Alligator mississippiensis: one gene and its partner. The protein of the gene in region 1 binds, or shares a complex with, the protein of each later gene. Links are inferred from orthologs where the notes say so. Each region holds a gene or a part of one and is shown in the gene's direction. Other genes may lie near its edges.

The links.
Region 2: the proteins of RALGAPA2 (region 1) and NKIRAS1 are in contact, whole or in part, in a crystal structure (PDB 9QU1), measured with the Homo sapiens proteins. The link is inferred for Alligator mississippiensis from reciprocal best matches to the Homo sapiens genes RALGAPA2 and NKIRAS1. Residues at the interface, in NP_065076.2 of Homo sapiens: Pro20, Lys21, Tyr51, Ser52, Gln53, Phe56, Tyr59, Glu60, Ile63, Arg99, Phe102, Arg103, Trp104, His105, Tyr106, Gln107, Ser108, Lys185, Ile186, Tyr187, Pro188, Glu189; in NP_001364280.1 of Homo sapiens: Lys6, Glu22, Leu24, Leu25, Tyr26, Glu34, Met39, Glu40, Asp41, Val42, Tyr43, Met44, Ala45, Ser46, Val47, Glu48, Lys54, Gln56, His58, Tyr60, His74, Tyr75, Ser77, Phe78, Lys108, Thr162.

The regions. Positions count from the first base shown.
Region 1 is NC_081824.1:229,068,832-229,076,452, forward strand, and holds the start of RALGAPA2 (ral GTPase-activating protein subunit alpha-2), read left to right. Parts: upstream 1-4,533; 5' UTR 4,534-4,696; coding exon 4,697-4,802; intron 4,803-7,621.
Region 2 is NC_081828.1:147,991,587-147,999,037, forward strand, and holds the start of NKIRAS1 (NF-kappa-B inhibitor-interacting Ras-like protein 1), read left to right. Parts: upstream 1-4,427; 5' UTR 4,428-4,473; coding exon 4,474-4,567; intron 4,568-7,451. Other genes in the region: RPL15 (large ribosomal subunit protein eL15), read right to left, coding at 2,151-2,287, 3,409-3,580. UniProt on the Homo sapiens protein: Atypical Ras-like protein that acts as a potent regulator of NF-kappa-B activity by preventing the degradation of NF-kappa-B inhibitor beta (NFKBIB) by most signals, explaining why NFKBIB is more resistant to degradation.

The DNA.
Region 1 (7,621 bases):
GGGCTACAGACAGGTGGGTGGATGAGGAGCAGTGTTTGGGAGAGGGATGGGCAGGTGAGACTGGGATCCCAGGGTGGGATCTTGGGGTAGTGACAGCATGGAGCTGAGGCCCAGGGCAGAGCCACAATCCCCTCCCTACATGCCCCTGTGACAGGCATGGATTCCATGGGCAAGGGTATACGGGGAGTGGATCATGGCTCTGCTCCGGCCCCTCATAATCACTGCCCCAAAATCCTGGCCCTGGACGCAGCTTCCCACCCGCCTGCAGCCCCATCCCATCTGCCCAGCCACGTGCCTTACTTGTGCAGTTTCCAGCCACACGGGTAAGGTCTCCATGATGATCCTGGGATAGTAGGGCAGTGACAGCATGGGGCCAGGGCTGGGGCAGATCTGCAATCCACTACCTGCATGCCCCTGAGACAGGTGCTGGTTCTGTTGAGCAGTCATCTCCCCATGATCCCAGCCCCACCTGCTTTCCCACTCCTGCCCTGCCATGGCCCCATCCCAGCCACATGGCCAAGCAGAGAGCAGAGCCACTTAAGGAGTTTGGGTGAGCTGTTGCATTGGTGGGGTGGGGGAGAGGTATGTTGACTTGACCTGCGACAGCTCACCAAAACTCCCTATGTGGCTCTCAGGCCCAAATAATTGCCAACCCCTTCTCTTTGGGCTCCTACTTTTACACAGGGGAGGAAAAGTAGGAAGGAACCCCAGTGACAGGCAGCAAAAGAAGTCTGAAAAGAAAGGATCAGACAACAGGAGAATTGCTAAGGCAATTTCCTCAGCCCCAGGGAGGAAAAAAACAGGCATTGGGGTGGGATTTGTGGAAGAATGAGCAGGGACTCACTCTGGTACTGCCACTGCCCTTTACAAAAGTGGTTGTGGGGAAGTGAGAAGAGCAGAGATTTTTCTCAACATCCCCATGCCTCCATGTCCATCCACAATGAAAGAAGCACTGCAGAGTTTGGGGCAGAGAAAGAACTGAGTGGGTATGAGAATGCTGCACTGGTTTAATTAATTTAAAGACAATTCAATTAAACTGGTGCAGTATAACCAGGTGAAAAAAGTCCTTTGTTTCCTGGAGGGTTTGAACTTTGGTTTTTTGAACTTTGGTTTTCATTCTGGTTTGGAATGGAAACCAAAAATGTTGAAATTCGGCACATATGGGACTGGAGGTGAGGCTCCATGGTAGGACAGGGAAGGATTTCCAGAGAAATGTGGTTAAAATTCAACCTTTCCTCCTTGCTGAGCTTTGGTCTTCTGCCAAGAAGAAAACTGTGCCCATTGATTACCACTGGGTGTGTACCACATCTTGGCAATTTGGCAATGAGTAAGGGTTACAGCATATTGAATTATATCTCCCAGCACCAGTCTCAGGCTCTTTGTCTTGGAAGAGCCTTAGAGCAGCTCAGGATTATGTGCTTAGGACCCCAGTAAATCACATTTTATTGCTCCAATTCTGTCCTGTGATTCATAGTTTAGTAATATGAAAAAGGAAGGTGTTGATTTGCATTTGCTTGTATAGGAGGACCTAGTGGTATCTTTTAAAAGCTTTGTTCCTGCATTGAGTAGATGTTATATCTTTTATTAGAGCAACTAACTAGTTGGAAAATTGTTCTTTGCAAGCACCCTTCTTCAGGCATTGGAGAGAGTCTCTTGTTGGTTTGGGTGCTCTCCTGGGTAGATTGGAAGCCAATATGCAAAAATGTAGGTCTGTGAAAATGCATTTTTGCATATTGGCTTGTAATCTACCCAGGAGAGCACCCAAACCAACAGCAGACTCTCTCCAATGCCTGAAGAAGGGTGTTTGTGCCTGAAAGCTTGCAAAGAACATTTTTCATACTATTTAGTTGGTCTAATAAAAGATATCACATCTATCCAAAGAACTTTGTCTGCCTATGTCAGAGCAACACAGCTACAACCAACAACCTTGTTCTTGCATTGGAGTCTATCAATGTTAACACCTCTGCTCAGGAGTCTCATTAACGGAGACTTAGGTTGTAAAATATTCTGAGCTGGAATTTTGGACCAAATTCTGCTTTGTAAAATACTAAAACATAGTGTATTATTTATGCATTTTAGTGGAAGCAGTCACTGAAAGCTTGAGTGAATTTACTCTAGCCAATGAGTTATGTGTAAATTCCAAATGGTGATCCTAATTCCAGTCGCAGATACAGTATAATTTATTATATAATGTATATATAATGATCCCTATAGCCTTATTAGGCTTAGTTTGAATGTTTGCCAGTTGGTTTCCAAAAGGTCTGACATAAGGCTGGGTTTTCAAAGATGAATAGTTAGGTCGCACCTACAAAGTAATTTGTTCACATATGGGAATTATGAGCACAAACACTCATTTTTTGCAAGAAAATGTGTGCTTTGGAGCAGAGTGGACATAAAACACCCTTCTGAGGAGGTCCCTGTGACAATGGTAGCACAGCTGCAGCATACAGAATTCTACAATGTAGCCCTGGGGCATGCTCATCTTTATTAATACTTTTTGGCTTCATTAATTAGACCAGCATTTCCCAATTGGCTGTTTAGGACCCTGAGGGAGGCTGAACAACAACACAAATTTTATTCCAGTGTAAAACAAAAGAAAAACTCCAACCCTCTAAACCCATCAAGGTCAACTGTTCTTTGCCAACTTCTAGATACACAGAAATTTTGTAGGCATATCCTAGTTTGACTGCTGTTACCTGACATTGTTTTGTTCTGTTTTTTATTCTTGGAGTAAGAATAAGGAAGTCACGAACATTTTCTTTTTTACTTTGCTACCAAAAGGAGATGGTTGAGAAACATTCAAGTAAAGCATGGGGCCATGGGTCATGGGAAGCACACACAAAGCCTGGTGGCTCCATCACAATGTCAGGGCAACATATTGTTGTGCTCTCCTCTTGTGGCTGGAGCAGGTGGTACAGAGGGGTTTAGGAGCCCCTACTCCCACTCTGCCAATGGCCTAGCATTGTGACTCAAGCAAGGGAGGCTCATGCTTTTAAATATGAACATCTTAGGTTCAGTGCTCACAGATAAGCTGCCCCAGGGGGTCTTAGTGCAGCCACCTACCACAGGCATTGCTCAGGCAGAGCTACTCCAGCCAGTGCCAAAGGGGAGCAGTCCATCTCCGTGATGGCAGGCCACGGAGCAGGTGCTCATGGAGAGAGCCCTGAGCAGGGCTCCCTACACTCGAGGTATTAGACTTAAAGCACATTAACTAATGTGCATTAATGCACATATAGACACACCCTTGGGCAGTCCTGTAGCAGGTGCGGGGGCCACTCCAAGTGCCAAAGTGAAGGAGCATCAACAGGAGCTGCCCAGCTGGGGCAGGGTGTGGGACAGCAGTTCATTTGTGTGGGGGCATGGAAATGCTGGGAGGGTGGTTCCTGCCGCTGTGTGCACTTCCAGGTAAGCATGGGGGGGGTGCCCCCCAGATCTGTGTGTGGGGTGAGGGTGGGCCCTGGGCACCAAACTTTGTTCCTACGGCACTACCCTTGGCGCATGTCTACATGTGCATTAATGCACTTTAGTTAATGTGCATTAAGTAGGGTGGCCATCATAGAGGACATTCCAGTTTTCTGCTACTTGGTCCTCTGTTGATACGAAACCAGATGCCTTTATGTCCTCTGTTTTTCTTTTGAAGAAAAGAGCTACTCCAGCTAGTGCCAAAGGGGAGCAGCCCATCTTTGTGATGGCAGCGCATGGAGCAGGCGCCCATGGAAAGAGCCCCGAGCAGGGCTCCCTAACACTTGAGGTACGAGACTTAATGTGCATTAACTAATGTCCGTTAACACACATGTAGACCTGCCCTTGGGTAGCGCTGTAGCAGGTGTGGGAGGGAGGAGGAAGAGAAGAGAAAAATACAGGACATAAAGGCATCTGGTTTCATATCAAGAAGACAACCGGACTGTCCTCATGATGGCCACCCTAGCATTAAGTCTAGTACCTCCACTGTAAGGTACTAGGAAAATGCACATTAGCCTGTCTAATGCACATTAACGGAAGAGTACAGGGTTTTTTTAGCGAGGTTTTAACGCCCATTAAAATAGGCTAATGTGCACGTGTAAATGTGCCCCAACAACCCTATTCCTGGGGTGGGGTACAGGGCACCTGCAGGCCACTACACCCCTCCCCCTGCTGCCTGTAATTAGGGGTGAGGGGGAAGAACGGGAGGTCATGGGGGTCCCATGGGACACACCACAGCCCACGGTGCTGGTAGGGGGTGCAAGACTCCCCGCGGCACAAAGACCCGGGCACTCCCCGTCCCGCGGCGCCTACAACTCCCAGTATGCAGCGCGCCCCCACGGCAGCTGGCGGCGCGCGTCCCGCCGCTCTGCATGCCGGGGGATGTAGTCCCGGCGCCCACTGAGAGGGGCCGCGCCCGGGGGTGTCGGGGTGGTGGGCAGAGAGGCGGCAGGCTCCGGCCCCGTTCCCAGCCCCGTGTGACCCGGCGGACGCCCTACTCGGGGGAGCGGGCCGGCAGGCGCTGCAGGGGCGGGCTCGGGCGGCTGCGCAGTCGGGGAAGCGCGGCGGCGCCAGTTCCGTGTTTACACGCCCACTCCGGAGCTGGAGCGGCAGCAGGAGCCGGAGCCGCCGCGCAGGGACTGCCCCCTGCAAAGCCAGGGGGTCTGTGCCATCCCCCCACCCCTTGTCCCGCATCCGCCGCCCCCCGCTGCAGCCGGGCGCCCCGGCCCCGGGGATGTTCTCCCGCAAGGGCCATGCGGATGTCAAGAAATCTACACAGAAAGCGCTGGACCCGAAGAAGGACGTGCTGACCCGCCTCAAGCACCTCCGCGCCGTGCTGGGTGAGCCCCGGGCACTGCCCGCCGCCTCCTCCGCGGGGCACGGGCCTGGAGGGGCTGGGTGTCTCGGGTGGGCAGTGCCGAGTGCGCCTGGGTTTGAGCCTTGCGGGAGAGGCCCCGGGTAGACAGAGCGGGGCACAGACATCTTTCTGTCAGTGGAAGGGGGAGAAGAGTTTGAAAACCTGCTTGACAACGGGCTCTTCAAATCAGTAGTTGCCACCCTTGGAATCGGCGCTGTTCCTTGACTCCAGGTGGCCCAGGACGAACTTGTAGTATCAGGCCCCCGTTCGCCAGAGAGAATGATAATAATAGTAATAATAATGACCATTTTCTGGCCTCCTTTCTGTCTGGGGCACCCTGTTGGCCCATGCCTGTGTCTGGTCTTGTTTGGAATGACTGGGTGTTTCCTGTGCACCAGTTCGCGCCTGGTTTTGTTATCCAAAGTGTCTGCAATCCAGTCTCTTGTGGGGGATTCAGAGTCATAAAAAATGAGGGTTGGACACAGCGTTCCCTCTAAGCTGCGTGGCGTGCGCGGCTGCACAGGCAAGCTTATGCCATGCTGCCAGGTGCGCCTGCATGGCTGCACAGCTTGGAGGGAACGCTGGTTGGAAGGGACCATTGGAGGTCATCCAGTGGTTCTCCACCTTTTTTGGACCAGGACTCATTTGGAAATGTCAATGGCTCATCCCAACCCAGTGCCCCTCGCTTCTGACCTGCTGCCCCCCACCCCACAGTGTGGGCTCCAAGCAGCCCCTTGCAGGCTGGCGATTTCCCACCTTTTTCTCCTTTAAAGGAGAATCCATTTTTAAAGTTTGTTGATCCATTTTTAAAGTTTGCTCATGACCCTCTCAGATATTCTTGCGACCTATGGGTTGAGAAACACTGATCTTGTTCAACCTCCTGTTCATATCAGGACCATCCCCAACTAGATCATCCCAGCCAAAGCTTTGTGTAGCTGGGTCTCAAAAACCTCCAAGGATAGAGACTCAACCACGTCCCTGGGTAACCTGTTCCAGTGTTTTACCATCCTCCTAGTGAGAGAGTTTTTTCCAATACTGTATCTAACCTAAACTTCCCTTGCTGCAACTTGAGACATTTAACTAGAAGGAACTTCTTTTAAAAAACCGCCCAGAAATAAAGAAACTCAATTGACTAGCATGCCCTGAGGTTTAGGACAAAGGTTAAGGAGAGTTAGTACCGCCCTGCCTCCTGTTCAGTTGTTGATGCTTCTGTATAAGTTAAATGACCTCATACATGAGTAGATCTGGTCTGACTAAAGCTGTTAGGATTAATGTCTCTTACATGAATTTAAGAAAATATCTTGAATTCCATTAGGATAAAAGGACAGGGCCACTTTGCAAAATCAATGTTTAGGATGTGTAACTGTAATGATAAACAGGCATTAAAAAGCATGGAAAAGGAAGGGTAAGGTCTTGCAGGATATTCCAGGAAATTTAACGAGATTTTATTTGGTTGAAGTGAAATGTCATTCCATTATTTAAATGATAGTAGCAGCATTTTAATGAAATATTATTCATATGCTACTTCACTGTATGAAAAGTGTATTAATTGAGTTCAGATGGAGTTTACTAGAGAATGAGCTGAAGGTTTCTGTTCCCCAGACAATTAAAGAACCAAAAAACACCTCCCAAACTCCTTCCCCTCCCTTGTTTTGGATAGGGCATGCCAAAAAACTCCTCTTGTACATAATCAAGCTATACCACAAAGAAGTTCGTGATAAAAAACCATTTACAGACCATTACTTATTTCCTTCTCTGAAATAAGATTTTATCAAAATGCACACATTGCCTCATGACTTTCTGTAAATTCTAGATGTCTTCTTTGTTCCACTGTGTGCATGGCTGGTAGTATTAAAGATGCAACACAAATTAACCACATTCTCCCAAACTGTTTGTTTGTTTAATCATTCGTTGGTTATATTTCAATAATCAACTGAGACTATCTAAGAATGCATTTTGGCATCTGGGTTCATAAAATATGCAGATGTTACAGGGGGACTAGTTCCACTTTATAGGCACCAAAATAACTTCAAAAGGTTGCTTTTAGATTAAAAATGTCATAGCAAATAAAAGCTTCTACAAATAAAAAAAAAGTTAAAGACTGCTAAGAAAATAACTACCTTATTAATTGCCTAATTTACAAAATCCAAGCGTATAAGGCAAGAAATAAATCATGAAACATAAAATATACTATGTACTGCAAACGTGTGCTTATCAATCTAATGAAATCTCATCACAGTGCAACAGCCCTAGGTCCAATATGCAGATTGCTCTTTTTAAAGAATTTTTATTATCTTGGTTCAGTACATTTTTAAGGACTATTGTTAAATGGGGACTAGTATCAGTTAGTATTTATTCATTGACACTGGCATTTTGGTAATGTATTTATAATTTACGTGTTTTAGGATGAATGTGATTTAATAGTAAGTGTGTAACATAAGTGATTTATAGTAAAAGCATTTCTGTTTGGAAAACTGCATGTTAAGAATGGCAAATATAAAAACTCTCTTAACACCCCCCCCTCCCGATTTTACCATGTGAGTTTATTAGTGAAAGGATACCAGTTTCTTACTGTGGCTCAAACTTAAGATTTTTTTAAATTATAAAACATGCATTTCTTTATACTTAATAAATCCTTATGTGCAATGCAGGCTTTATGACGACCTTTTTTCTTTATTTCCAGTGTTTGAGTCTGTGTGTGATAAGAAACTGCGTTATCATTTAACTGATATTTTAAATAGAATTGGTGTTTTTGTATATATGCTTTGGAATGTGCTTTTTTTAACATTTTTCATTTTTATA
Region 2 (7,451 bases), on another chromosome or scaffold:
GAAGATACACAAAATGCACTATAGGGAATAAACTGGCATTTAATAAATCTTTCTCCATTTTCCAAACTCCCATGGTTGTCTGATGCCTTCTCTGTTTAGAGTACAAGGTCCTCTCATTTAATATAGGACTGAAAGAGCTGGAGCACCGGTTCAAACAAAAAAGTAGAAGAAACTTACTGGGTCACATAAGATTTCCCCAAGCTCTTTTACAGCACAGAATCATTCTCTATTTGACTTTCCTTTTAAAACTAAACATGAGCAAGCATGCCAAACCAAAGCAATCCTGTCATTACTTTGGGAGACTATTCTACAGGCCAGAAGATCAATGATATGGTCTTCAAAATCATCCCACTCCATTTCTACAGTCCTCCGTCAAGTGGAGACCTAGCATTACTAATATAAACAGAACTAAAAAAAGTATTCAGATTTTGGTTTTCCCAAGACAAGATAGCAATAAAAGGCACTCAGTTTACAACAAATACAAGTCACGCCCTTACCACATATATAAGAAGTTAGAACAATAGATAAAACCTTGGTAATGGAAAACGGAACAAATGGTCTATGCCAAGAAATGTACAAAACTGAAGTAAATTAAACTAGTGCCTGAGACAAGTGGGGGGGAAAAAAAAACAACTGGACAGCCTCTAAAAGCGATCAGAATTATGGTGCCTTGTGGAAGAAAGGCCAAGAGCTTACCTTAAAAAAAAAAAAAATTAAACATTTACTTGCTCTAAAAAGAAAAGCTTTTTTTGTCTACCAGTTTCAGTATCTCAATGTTAACACATCCTTTGCTCAAAGGAATCACCAATCTGACCAGCATTTAAAGTATCTGAGAACAATGAGTTGAAAATGAGAACAGGCTTGCATTTTGGAAAGAACATGTTATTATGTGAAGTCCAATAAAAAAAAAAAAAATCTACTTCATGCTCAGAAATATTTCCCAGACTACAAACAAAACACAACAGTATTTTTTTTTCTGGCCTAGAAAATCTCCTTTAAAAAAAACAAACACACACAAAAACCACAGCCTACAAATCAGGAAAAACGCATAGTCCCCTAGAGAAACTACAGGTCTAGCATCAGCCAAACAGTGGAAAGGGGGAAAGCACTAGGCTCCTTGCATCTAAAAGGGTATTTTATTATTTGCTGGCATGACCTCACTACAGAAAGGCAGCTGTCCCTTCTCATCAGTTACCTTACAGAATGTGGAGTTAAAGCTGATTTTGAAAAAGTGGTTGTACAGATGTCACACCTCAGTCATGCCTGTTACATAGAGGGCATGCCAAGAACATACAATAAGCAGAAATGCTTCTTCTACCTCTAGTAGAAGCCCTTGTGATTTTTTCCCCCCCCCTTTCATGGAACATGGAAAGAGCTCCTGCCCCAAACTACTTTCTAGACATATCTGACAACAGCAGGAAATACTAACAAAGGGGAAGAGTGGTTTGTAAGGCCTAGATTTAAGGATAGATTTTTCAGCCTATTTGCGTTTTCCTGTACTCTGAGATTCTCTATTTCCCAAAGATACCTTTGTGTCGTTGGATTAAACTAATTAGAATGATTTTAATTTCATATGGTTAATTTTACTTCTTGGCAAGTCCTGAACGCAGAGACAAGTCAATTGCAATTCTCTGCCAAGGAATTAAGATTAAGAATATAGCAGCATATAAAGTTTAAAAAATTAAATCAAGACTCTGATACTGGATTACATAAAGCAAAATGATCAGTAAAGTCATGAATTACACAGAGTCCGAAGCCTAACTTTTGCTATCAACACTTCTGTAAAAAAATAAAATAAAAAAAGGCTAATACCATGTATGGTCTGTTCTACTATGTCTCTGCAACCAATGAAAATGCATCAGAACATAAAACTGAATGACAAGTCATACTCCTAGTCCAATTAGCCTGGAGCACTAACTTTACCAAGTCACTTGAACTCTGCACACTAGTTTCCCCAAACATACAAGAATACCATTTACTTAGTTTAATAAGCCCCTTGAGGTACATGGGTACGAAGGTCTCACAAGTGCCTTGTTAGTGTCAGTAGTCCTAACCTTTAGGTTCCCAAAGGAATTCTGTGGTTCTGAATAGTGCCCTCCATCAGTAGAACAAGACTTGCAGAAAACTTTCTACTGGAGAAAGGCACTTACCTCTGCTACAGACTGCAGGCTACGGGCAAACTTCAGCTGATTAACACCATGATGCACAGGTTTACCGTATGTTGCACCCTTTGGGACTGGGCGTTTACGACCGCCACGACGAACACGAATACGGTAAATCACGTAACCTTAAAAAAAAAAGTGTGTTTTTAAAAACGTTACTTGTTAAAGATTATGAGACTTCTGAATTTCATTAAGTATCAATTACCGTGACTTTATTTTCCCCTCACATTAATATTTTTCCCCTCAGGACTTCTAGTTCCACTCTTACTGTGGAAGCTGCTTTCATGAGCATCTTCAACGTAGATAAACCTTGTACTGGAAAATTTGGTGAAGTGCTCCTGCTTTATACGGTAACACTTAAAACAGCCAAATTCCCCCCATGTGTATGTCACTGCATTATACAACACAGGTCACTTCAGTGCCCAAACCAAAATAAGCTATATGGTACAACACACCTTAATACTGGTGTAAGTGAGTTTACATGTGGGCTGTTGACAATATAATTTTCCAATTATAAAAATTATTTAAGCCGATAGTAAAACATGAGTGCAGATTGGAGAACTTCGTAGCTATTAGAAACTAGAAAGGTTAAGTAGAGTTTTTGGTCTTGTTTTCATTTTTTAAGTGCGAAAATGCTTCCAGGATTGCAAGCTGACAGTCTTTTTCCACAGCGCTTTGCAAACACATCTCAGTCCTGTCCACCTCTGAAGATATTATTATTTTATCTTCACTGGAGTCAGCTTGGATTCTTAGCCAGGCATTTCACATGAGAATGCCTCTCTGGTCCACACTCATCTTTGCTTAAGGGGACTTTCCACCCAGCTAGATGTTGTGGCTTACAGCATGTGCCAGCTCCTGGATCCGCTCTCATCTGGGATAATAACCTCCAACTTTGCAGAGGAAAACGAGAGAAGTTCAAATCTCCAAGAACAAGGAGAATTCAGTCTCTGTAACTTACTTATCTAGATACTTAATTATCCAGTTTTGCCAAAATTATTTCCTTAGATGCTAATTAAGCATGAATTATAGCACTATCCTTTTTCTGTAGACAGCTGTATTGCTATGTTACTACCTGTAACCCAACTTTTCATGGTGTTTTTCAACTCTTACCAAAGAGCATACACACCTAGCATGCTGCCAGTTACACATACCCCTTACTGCTCAGTTAGGAAAGACTCTAACAAGTACCGTGGCGACACACCCCAGTGCTAAAGCGTCAGCTGCAAACCTCTTCAGGCCTAGTTACCTTGCTTGGCTTTGTATCCCAGCCTACGGGCTCTGTCTGGCCGGGTAGGTCTGGGAGCTCGATGCAGGGCAGACAACTGGCGGTACTGCCAACAGCGGACACGCAAAAGGAAACGCATCACATCTGACTGCTTCTTCCTCCATAGCTCTTGGATGTACTTGTAAGCGCCCATGCTTGTTTACCTGTTTAATCAGAGATCTGTGTAAGTTTGCAATCAAGCCTTTATCCCCCTTTGAGACTCTCCCGCAGGAAACCCACGTGCAAAGGGGACATCGTGTAACAGGCTGCACCAAACTGAAACGCAAGGGGCTTAAACGCAGGGCAGCCGCCACACCGCAAATGCCTGCTCGCCTCTCTCCCTGCTTTTATGCATGCTGAACTCCTGAGAGAGAAACTGCTTTTCCGTGAGGATGCCTGGCACACCCTAGCTACTGCCACATGCCAAATAGCGGCTTCACCCAGAATGCAGCGGATCTGCCAGTGAGTTTAGGGAAAAGCTTCGGGGAAGTCACCGCCTCTCAGCAGCTTCCTCCCCAGAGGCCTGACTTAACTCCTGCACCGCGAAGAGCTTTCCCTCGGCTGGCACCCAGGGCCGCTGGGCGCCTCCGCGCTGGTGCAAGGACACAGGCCGCCCCGGGCCCTCCCCGACTCGACTCCCGCTCGCCCCAGCCCGGCGGGCCCGGCGCCAGCACCCCCGCCAGGCCGCGCCGAGAGCCGCGGGCCGAGCCGGGCCGGAGCCGCGCCGGGGCCTGCCCCACACTCGGAGGCGGTGATGGCGGCGGATAGAGGCAGCAGCCGGGACCGGCCTGATCCTCACCTGATGGCGCCCGAAGCCGGAAAGGAAGAAGCCGCGCTCCCACAACCCTTTGTGGCCCCGCCTCCCTTCCGGCGCCGCGCCCCAGGGGCTGCTGGAAAATGTAGTCCTCCGCCCGCCCCAGCCCGGGGCCTGCTTGGAAATGTAGTACGGGGGGGGGGGCTGCCCCGCCCCGGGGCCTGCTGGGAAGTGTAGTTCGGCGGGGGCCGCCTCCACCTTCCGCCTCCCGGTGCGCCCCGCGCGGCCCGGGCATGGGGAAGGGTTACAAGGTGGTGGTGAGCGGCGCGGCCGCCGTGGGCAAGACAGCTGTGCTGGAGCAGCTGCTGTACGGGCACCACGCGGCCGGTGAGCGCGGGGGGTTGGGGCGGCGGGTCCTGGCCCCCTCGGCGCCGCCCCAGCCTTGCCACACGTTACATGTATTGCGCACTCGTCAGGCCAAGGAATCGCCGCCGCCTTGGCTGGTGAATCGAGCCATACGTGCGGACTGAGCACAGGTGCAGAGGGGCCGCCCGCCCGCCAGTCATGCCACAAACGTAGTCCAACCGCAGGTGCGGGGGGGATCGCCCACGAGTTGCACCATAAATGTAGACTGTGCCGAGTCATCGCCACGTGCCTAAAATGTGGCTGCCCAGCTATCCAAAGAACTGGCCAGGTCGCCACGTACTGCTTGGAAACGCGCAGCAGTTCCCTCGCTGGTTTCTTGCCAGCTTCAGTTTGAGCAACGGGGTCGCCAGGTCCCCCCCGTGTCTCCAACCTCCATGTCCCCGGCTGCCGCTTCAGGCAGTTGCTCCTTCCCGTCTCCCGCCGTCCTGTTTCTGCTCTCTGCAGCGTTGGCAGTAAAGAGGTGCTGTCAGGAGGCTCTGGATGAGCAGGGGTAACGGGAGGTGGCTGGGGGCAGAGGTGCCCTGGTGGGAGGGCAGGGGGTGCTGTCACTTGGGCTGATTGGGACAAGTTGGGCAGGCGGGCATTTGCAATTTGAGACCTTTGGACTAATGAGTTTCGTTCCTCAAAAGCAGAAGGCCTCTGTCCTTGCCGGCTGCGGACGGAGCATGGTGCTAACCAGGGGTCTCCTCTAGCTGTAGCGATACACATATTGAGTGCTGCCACTTGGCATAACTGGGAGCTGCTGTGGGAGAGCAGCGGGCCCAGTGAGCTCAATGGCAAGGAAAAGGTTTCGGTTTGTTCATCTCCCATCTGACTTGCTCTGAATGAGCTGGTTAGCACCAGTGTCTGAACAGGATGGCTAAGAAGGTGATGCTTATCGTACTGCCGTTAATTACTTCCTGTTCTTAGCTGCTGTTAGTAACTGAGGCAGGAAGAAAGTCAAGTGCAGCTGATGAGAGCTATTTATGGAGCTACTCGTTAAATGCTTATGTAACAGGAGGGACCTTCTCTGAGATGCACCTCCTTTACATTTAACTGTACATTTAATAAATGCTCTTTAATGCACACTAAATCTCACTGGATTTACAAATAATACTTTTTAACATAGTAGAAAATCCCTCATCTACCTTCAGGCCAAATTGCAAGCTCTTTTTTCAGCTATCATTTGTGATAGCTGACAGGAGAAAACAGGTGACAGGAGTTCAGTTCCCAGATTACACCACAGCCAGGTTTTGTACTGTTCCTCAGCCTCCTTATCCATTGTGTATGGAAGTGGGAAAGGGTCAGTCTCTGTTTTCCTCTCTCCTCAGCTTTGTTCCCAGCTCTCTTTCTGGTTGAGGCAGTGAACACTTCACCCAAGAGGAGGTAGGTAGAGAGTGAATTACACATCACTTGGTGCTCCTCAGCCTGACTTACCTTGAGAGAGCAAATGGGAAAGTTGACTGCTGGATTTCTCCATATGGGACATCTGGAAAGTTGTTTTTTTAAATGACTTCTCTGTGAATTGATGGCTTAGCCAGAAATCATTCCTGTACCTGGAAATGCTTGTGGTGCCTCTATCTCTGCCACAGCTTACTGCCTATGAGAACTGAAACACTCATCCTTTCTTCTGCTGACAATTCTGCTTTCCTTATCTCTGCCTTCTGACTACAAAAGAAACCCCACTGTGCTCAGGGTGTATTTCCAGTGAAGAACCTGGAAAACTATTGCAACTGAACCTCTGATTAGACAGAATCTTCCTGAATTTGTCTTCAGACTTGGAACTTAAGTTTCAAGCACCAAGGATGGTTTTTTGATTTTGGTTAGGATTTCGGTTTGGCAAACCTTAAGTGTGCAGAGAGTGACTATCCATGAGTTATTGTATCTGACTTGTGCAGCGCTAGCTCTGTTTTTAACCCGGAACTGCTTTTCGGACAAAGCTGTGACCATTCTTCCAGTCTAATGACAAAAATTGTTTTAAATGCATGGAACTGTGGGTTACAATATTAGACTAAATCAGTGAGGATAATACTCCTTTGGCCTTTGTTTGCTTCTACTTGATCCTGCAATCCTGGATTGAGTTGAACCAAATCCTGCAAAGGTCATTCCAGCTCCATGCATGCTCTGGGATTCCCCAGTGTACAGTCATTTCATCTTAAATCTAAATTAATAAAAATCACTAACATCAAACTCCAGCAGTCTTAGCCATGCAGTGGATTAAATTTGCCCACGTTCTTGTATGATCCCAGCAATGTAGTTCATCCTTGCCTAAAACTTAAGCCAAGTAACTAATGCCTTTCCATTCTCTCATAATTTTTGGTGCTGGTTGGTACACACTGTACAAGGGGATAGAACTAACTGCAACTGTGAACATTGTTAGCAACACGGTTTCCACTGTATTATCAGAGGTGAATTACTTTAACCTGATGAAATCCCTTTCCCTGTCTGAACAGTCAGCATCATGCCTATCTGCCATTTAAGTCCTCTGTATGAGCAGCATGTAGGGTGCCATTTGCACACTGGATATGTTTAGCCCATTGCTGGCACTAGTGATATGCAAATTCCTATGACCAAAAGAGATCCTTATTCCATTTCCATGTACACTTGTTCCCACAGTCCTAGCCTTCCACCATAAAACTTTATTTTGTTAGTTTTCATTCTCTCCCTTTGCCATTCTGTATGTTAGCCCAGGCATGTCCTGTTGCTGCTTTGATGGCTGGGAGAAATTTCCACAGAAGCACGTGGATAAGTTTTCAAGATCCATGCATTGAAGTATAGCATCAAGGTGATAATAACCTGTGTAAACTATCTTAGTAGAGAACTTTAAGATGAGCTTTATTACTTTTTTTTTTAAAGAGATTTTAAC